Nothobranchius furzeri: one gene and its partner. The protein of the gene in region 2 interacts with the protein of the main gene of each other region in a biochemical or structural test. Links are inferred from orthologs where the notes say so. Each region holds a gene or a part of one and is shown on either strand. Other genes may lie near its edges.

Region 1 (3,650 bases), on a different chromosome or scaffold from region 2:
TAAATCACACACAAAGTTGTGAACATTTTAATTTCCTTTCTGAACAATTTCTGTTGAGTTTTAATGTTTAAAATCTGTTAGATTGTTACTGTCAGCAGCTACATTTAAGCTTCACTTCCTGTTCTGACTGAACGCTGCTGCAGCATGGAGGTGTAGTTCTCAGTCATCCTGGACATGATCATCCTGAGAGTTGTAGCTGAAAACAGCTGGACGTTTCTGGATATGTTGGAGACATTTAGCCTCATCCCAGAGGCTTCTTCCAGACTTTGGTTGTGGTCAGAAACAAACACACTGGTTGTGCTGCAAGTCTTTTTCTTTTTTCTCCAAAACATGTTTCTGTCTAAATGAAGGTGATGTTATCGTTCATAGAATTAAAATTCATGTTGAAGTTAAGATTATTTCAACAAGTAGGACCTGTGGTTAGCTGGCTCATGTAAAGCATGTCATGTCTTGAAAGAATCGGAAGCGGGAATCGATAAGAACCGGAACCGAAAAGAGGAATTGGAATCGGAATCGTTCAAAATCAAACAATGCCCAACCCTACTGCTGGGGTTGTAGGGACTAAGAAGATCACCAATGTATGATGGTGCTTGTCCATGTAAGGCCTTAAAGACCAGAACCAGGATCTTAAAATGAACCCTGAAGTTGCTTAACAGCCAGTGAAGCTGGAGGAGAAGCGGGGTGATGAGGGTGTGTTTGGAGGACTTGGTCAGAAGCCGAGCACAGGCATTCTGAACCACCTGTAGACGGTTCAGGGAGGTTCTGCTCAGACACGTGAAAAGAGAGTTACAGTAGTCTAAGCGTGAGGAGATGAAGGTGTGGAGAACTGTCTCAAGTTCAGAGCGAGACAGAATGGGACTCAGCTTAGCAATGTTCCTGAGATGGAAGAAGGAAGAGCGAACAAGAGAACTGACATGAGAATCAAGGGTGAGAGCTGGGTCAAAGGTCACACCAAGATTCCTGACAGAAAGTTTGGTGTGAGAAGCAAGCTGACCAAGAGTGTCTCTGACTTTGGGAACCAGCTTGTCTGGGGCACAGATGAGGATCTCAGTCTTATCTTCATTCAGCTGAAGAAAGCTCCCAGCCATCCAGGTTTTGATAGAGTCCAAGCAGGTGTGTAACAGCTGCAGCTTAGACCTCTCATGGGGTTTGAAGGAGATGTACAGTTGGATGTCATCTGCGTGAAGATGGTAGGAGATTCCTTTGAAGGAGCTCAGGATGTGCTGAAGAGGAAGCAGATAGAGGAGGAAGAGCAGAGGTCCCAGCACAGAACCTTGTGGGACACCATGGGTAAGAGAGGTGGTGGAGGACCTAAACTTGGAGACGGCCACAGAGAAGGAGCACCCAGAAAGATGAGAGAACCACTCCAGAGCAGTTCCTGATAGGCCTACCCAGTATCTCAGCCTCTCCAGTAGCAGGTGATGGTCAACAGTGTCAAAGGCTGCAGTCAGGTCCAACAGGACCAGAACAGAACAGTCCCCTTTAAAGGTGTGTTTCACTGAAAAACATTTTTTAATGATTATTTCTGATTATAATCAATCACTCTGAGTTTTTCATGCAGGCTGAACATGAAAATAGTCCCCTACACATATCTTCTGCATTAGCTTCTTACAAAAATAAACAGTGAAAATCTAGGATTTGAAAAGCCCGACAGATCTACGTCACACTGTCACTGAACATTCATGGACTCACCCAGCCTGACTCATGATGGGAAAGGCTGTTGTTAAAGGAAACAGCAGAAAGCGCCTTGGCTAGTAGGAGCAACTTCACCACATAGCAGAACTCCTCCAGGCTTGTGTTATTTGTGGTGATAAAACATCAACGTTGCAGAGCAGAGTCAATGGTAGTGTCACTTTTCTGTTAGCCAATCAGATGTGAGTTGTCCATATATCAGGAAATAAGACTCCAAATCCTGCCGTCTGAAGCTCTGATCTGGCAATCTTGATCCTGAGACAGGAGCACCAGGCGTTTTTGTAGCCAGAGTACAACTTACAAGGCATACATTCCTTTTAGAGACATCTGCAAATGTTTTGATTAAATGACAGGAAAACCTCTTCAACTATCTACAACTCAAAAGGAAGTCAATTCTGTTTCTGTGACACAAAGCCTTTGGCTGAGCTTTCCAACAAGCTTATCTGTGATATTTAAATGTCATATGGGGGCACATGGAAATGTGGTTACTGTACATTCTGAAAACTTCATTTGACTATCTCTGTGCTAAAAAACGGTCATGCTGAATATGCAAATCATGATGCATCTAGATGCTGCAAAAATTTGATTAATTAGCCTTAAAGGCCGATGTGGAGTCAAAAATGAAACAAGGCTATTATTGAAAATGGAAAGATGAATATTTCTGAAGGATAACTGAACTCGAAGTGCCAGAATTCCTTGCAGGAATGTGTACCACCCAGCGTTTTTCATGCCAGAGTTTAAACTGAGATCATGTTGAACGCAATGTTCAGTCTCATGTGATATTGCAAAACTCTCTGTGGTCTGTTAGCACTTAATCTCTGGTACGGATGATACTTAGTTAAGAAAACATTTTAGATGTTAGATCGGTTTCTTTAAATTTGACCAAACTCCAACAAGAAGGACCAAAGCAAACCAAGAAATTCAAATTGATTAATTTGTGTGTGTGTGAAACAAGCTGGACAGGTGATGGAGGGTGGTCAGAGACAGAAGGGGACATGTCACAGTGAGCTGAGGAAAAGAGGTCCACTGCTGGCACCCAGTATCCTACATATTTAATGATAAACACAAGGCTTTTAGCAGGAAAATACTCAAAACATTTCAGTGATGTGAGAGATCAAAGTTGTCTAAATTTGGTCAGAGCATAGGCGCGTGTGTGTGTTTGTGTGTGTGTGATGTTTTTCTAATAATCTATGCATAAGCGAACACGTCTTCTGGGAGGTAAAATAAAAACATAAGTGGTTCTAATATAGTAGCACACCAACATAAAGCTCTATAGTTCATGGTTCATGTGGACAAGTCTGTGCAAACTCAAACAGTAAAACTAAATGTGTACTTTGAGTGTTAATGGCACATATTATGTAAAGTGATCACAACTGGAGAAGGAAAGGCTAAAATGCAAATTACAATCAAGTCTGACTTTTAAACAAAATAAGGAACTTGCTTCTATGTGTAGCTTTATAATGAAGAAACAAGCAGGTTGAAATCCTTTGGTATCAGGCTGTTTTTGTTTTCACCTACATTTTAAGTGATTCACAAAAAGAGTCTGTTTTATGAGATGTATTCATTGACTCCATGACTTCCAGATGGTTCCATGGGAAGATAACACGAGATCAGGCAGAGAGACTGCTTCACCCTCCTGAAACGGGCCTGTTCTTGGTGCGAGAAAGCACCAACTTTCCCGGCGACTACACCCTGTGTGTGAGCTGCGATGGTAAGGTGGAGCACTATCGCATCATCTACCACAACGGCAAGCTCACCATCGACGAGGATGGCTATTTTGAGAACCTTATGCAGCTGGTTGAGGTGAGACATAAGTTTTAAGTTTAAACTCATTAATTGAACCGCATTTATATGTAGCATGCAGTGTGGAACTGTGTAGAACATTTCAGGGCTCTACTCTGGGTGTAGAGCCGCAGCATAATGCTACCAATTTAGAGACGATGTGCAGTTCCTGGAAC
Region 2 (4,272 bases):
TGAAACCATTGAGTTTGTCTTCTGTTTTTTCAAACCACACATAGTTCACCAAAGCCACGCTGGATCACAAGTCTGCTAACTTTCTCTAGCGAAGAAAACAGCAGCAGGTGTGGAAAAATGGTTTTACATTTGGACTCATTTGTATATTTTAGACTGAAAGTCTGTGAATCCAGCGAATCTACCGACAAAACCCATTCAACAACTAACAAATAACTTCCTTTTGGGTGCAAGAACACAGTCCTGTTTGCTCAAGAACCACTTCCTGATTACAAGAATGTATTCTTTCAGAAGGGGAATTAACAGAATATGGTGCGTATCACAGTTCTCAAAGGAAATGCATATTTAGATATTCACAACAAAAAAGTCATTTGCATGACAGAAACGTGGTATGTTCATATTTGCTTGGAGCTCGGAGTGCTTTTTCCACGGATTTTTAGCTTTTCTTTTCAAAATGAGCAAAAACAGTATTAAAGTATGATGAGACATGCACCGATGATTCAAATCATCCTGCCGCCACGCAGAGTCGAGTTTAAAACCAACGCAGGATCAAAAAAAAATCCTGTCAGCTCAACAGCAATTATCTAAACTCTAAAAAAGACTGCGCAGTCCCATGTATTATTCCAATAAACCACATGAAAAAGGAAAAAGTTGTATTTTATCTGGATTCACATCAGCTCAACACCCGGTGTGAGAGTTTTACCCCCCTGGAGAGTATTTTTTTCTCCTCGTCTTCCTCTTTTATCCCCTGTTTTCTTGTGAATGTAAACAGAATTAAAGCTGTTTGGCCTTCAAGGCAGAGCGCCACGATCAAACGCCGTGCACGATCAATGACTCTGAAAACATCTAACAACACTCATACATGTAGCTGTGTCACGCTGAAATGAAGACGTTCACTTCTGGAGCCGGTGGCCACATGTTCTCCCTCTCTTGATGGAAAGAGAGCGGGAAATCTAAACAGGGTGGGAAAACGTCGGAGCAGAGAGGCCGTGGCTAGAGTGGTCAGCGCCTTACGAACGTGGTTGAAATGCTTCAACGCAAGGTGCACCACTTCAGGTTTCACAAGAGTTTGATGTAAAGAAAAGCTGATTTTACTCTAGATCTCACATCTTTACATCCTTGATTCATCGCTTTGGTTTAAAGATGCTAATTAAATAAGACACTGCAGAAGTTTGCCTCCCTTTTCATAAGTCTGAAGGTTTTTCACACTTGAGTGAAGATCAGACAAGAGATGGCTTCCTGTTCTTGGTGGCGTAGCTGAAATGAAGCTTCCTGTCACTGAGACTCAAGGTGAAGGCAGGCTTCTGGGGGGGGGTGACATCACTGTTTCTGACTGGACTCAGAACCAGAAGCGAGGGTTTAGGGAACAAGTTCAGGAAGCTGCTCTGGCAGATAAGACAGAAAAACGCATGTAGTTTTAAATAAGGTCCACGTTTAGGCGTTAGGATTAGAGTTGGAAACAGGAGTTTTGCTCCAGTATCTGTGAGGTGGTCATCTCGAGGACTTTACCATCAAGTGTGTGTCCGCACACATCTCCCAGATATGGCGGGTCTCCGTGGTCCCCAGACTGTGCTGCTCTGGGTCATGGTCATCGGTTTGGCCAGCTGTAAGTAAAATGTTTCTTTATGGAAGGATTGTTCAGTGTTTTGTTCTAATGTAAAAAACAAAAAAGTTTTTAAAAACTTTATTTCATGCAACGCATTAAGGTGCTGACGCCTAACCTCCTAGCTCGTGCATCTGATGTTTTTGTTTGAGTGTGGGATTTGTCAGAAAAGGTGATTTTTTTATGTGAGATGGAGACATGAATCTGTCAGCAAACAAGCTTGACAATATCTTTTTTTTAATTTTTTTTAAGTGGAAAACATCACCGCTCACAAATGTAATCATTTAAACTGAGGGCAGAAATGACAAGCTACAGTATATCAAGCCTTTGACTTGCTGCTGCTTTTGTGCTGCTTCACGTTTCTTAAACTTTCCAAACCAAAGACACGGCAGACGGCACGCCGGCGCGTCTCTGATGTGAGAATCTGAGAAGTGACAGGTTTTATGAGACCCTTTGGCAAAAGAATCAACTCTTGTGTTCAATCAAAGAACGCCGTTAATAAGACGACGCTCCTAAAACACCTTTCATTCGCTACAAAGAGAAGGGAGCTTTTGCAATCATGTTTCTGTTCTGCTTTGACGTGTGTGTGTGTGTGTGTGTGTGTGTGTGTGTGTGTGTGTGTGTGTGTGTGTGTGTGTGTGTGTGTGTGTGTGTGTGTGTGTGTGTGTGTGTGTGTGTGTGTGTGTGTGTGTGTGTGTGTGTGTGTGTAGGATGAAGAGGCATGTCTATCTAAGATGAGAGGATTTTATGGGGTGTGTCCCTGCAACCCCTAGTCATTGTGGGTGTTGAATCAAGATAAGCATCTCTCTCTGTGTGTGTGTGTGTGTGTGTGTGTGTGTGTGTGTGTGTGTGTGTGTGTGTGTGTGTGTGTGTGTGTGTGTGTGTGTGTGTTGCTTCTAGCATCACTCGGTGTTCTGCTATAAGCACGTTAATCTTCCTGTCTTTATCTCGACTCCGGGTCCATGTTACTCTTGTATTTCTAACGACCTGTACAGGTTTTATTTGTCAGGTGACTCCTTTTGTCGTTTGCATACATTTTATTATAAATACTAACATATCGGGCACCATTTCTAAAGGATACACACACTTCAGTTTTTGTTTGTGCTTTCTCTGCCTTAGCTGGAGCTAAATTGGCCTAATGAACTGAGTTAATAAAAATAGTTTTTGCTCTGCTTTCTTTTCTTTCATCTCATCCTTTCATGCTTTTACAGCGGTTTGAGGCCTCCTGTGTTTCAATGCCCCCAGCAAAAGTGCGCCATTCCTCTGCATCTTGCTGCTGCAGGACAGAGTCGTGACCACTTCCGTGTTCCATTCTGAGCCGCCTTCATTTCCTGTCGAGAGCTGAGTCGAGCAGCTCGCAACAAACGCCACAAATGACTCGAGATTTCATGACAAAAATTAGGAACTGCTTAAAATGAAGAACTGAGGTCAGTGTGATTAAAGCAGGAGTGGGGGCGACGATAATGAATGAGGATGAAATAAGGCGGCATGCCAACTCCATCCTGATGCTGAGAGGCTCAAACATGTGTTACTCAGAGATTTTAGCAAAATGTCAGGTTAAAAAAAGACAAGTAGTCAGGAGTGTAGTGGTGGAGTTTTAATCCAAGGCTCAGTTTTTGTTTTGTTCTTCATCTTCCTGCTTCTGCCTCCGCCTTAACAAGCCCGCCTAAACGTGTGAACATCACACCTTCATTTCACACTTTGCCCCGATGACGGTGAAGACAGAAGTACCTGAAAGATGACAAAAAAAACATCAAACTACCTCCCTAAAAACACTTCTAACTGGTTTGGCTTTTTGCTAATTAAATATATAAGAAATTCAACAAAAAGTCTAAAAAGAAGAGAGACCAGATTCTGTCACCTTTACAGTGTTTTACATCGTGGTGCATCAGTGATGAAGCTGTTTCTATAAATCAATAAGAGTAAAGGAGCAAACATGTTCAGCGAACACCTGCAGCAAGTTAAACATTTAATAACTTTACCTATTAGTGCTTAATTAGCTCATTTAAAGAAGGATAAATATTCTTCAATTACTTTAATTGCTGGTGCCTTTTTCTACAGCTCCATTTAACCCTCCCACTGTCCTAATGGGTGTGACCCCGCGAGGAAAGTTGTCCATTGAGCAGGGTTGATGGTTCATCCCTTGGGTCCACGTGGCGGGGTGAGGAGTGAACACCACCTCACCCCTGCCACGTGGACCTCAAGGGATAAACCATCAATCCTGCTCAATGGACAACTTTCCTCGCGGGGTCACACCCATTAGGACAGTGGGAGGGTTAAACCTATAATCTACATGAATAATTAGAAATTGGTGAATTTAATGTTGATCATCAAAAATACAGATTAGAGGCTTTTCTCTCAAGTAAAGATAAAACTACAAACATGAGCAATTTCTTAGCTTGTTCAGTCCGATAAATTTTTTTGTAGTTTGTTTAAATTATGAAAAATAAACTATTAATTCTCTGATTATTTATCTTTATTGGGTGTATTTAGGCGTAGCGCTGCATCAGTAATTCATGTTCATAAACATTTATGTATTTTGATTATTCATGCTAAACACAGGAAAAGGTTTCACACACAGAGTGTGACTGTCGGTGTTTAAACGGTTTTCTGGTTTATTATGAAAAATATTTGCATTTGATGAATTTCAGATCAATTTGTGTATTTTTATA

Evidence for each region. The genes of interacting proteins can lie anywhere in the genome.
Region 1: of the proteins of ptprc (region 2) and tyrosine-protein kinase CSK, one has a biochemical effect on the other in vitro, tested with the Homo sapiens proteins (2 studies listed by IntAct). The link is inferred for Nothobranchius furzeri from reciprocal best matches to the Homo sapiens genes PTPRC and CSK.

What each region holds. Positions count from the first base shown.
Region 1 is NC_091744.1:58,974,245-58,977,894, reverse strand, and holds part of tyrosine-protein kinase CSK, read left to right. Parts: intron 1-3,275; coding exon 3,276-3,495; intron 3,496-3,650. UniProt on the Homo sapiens protein: Non-receptor tyrosine-protein kinase that plays an important role in the regulation of cell growth, differentiation, migration and immune response.
Region 2 is NC_091748.1:66,700,190-66,704,461, forward strand, and holds the start of ptprc (receptor-type tyrosine-protein phosphatase C), read left to right. Parts: upstream 1-1,363; 5' UTR 1,364-1,539; coding exon 1,540-1,603; intron 1,604-4,272. UniProt on the Homo sapiens protein: Protein tyrosine-protein phosphatase required for T-cell activation through the antigen receptor. Acts as a positive regulator of T-cell coactivation upon binding to DPP4.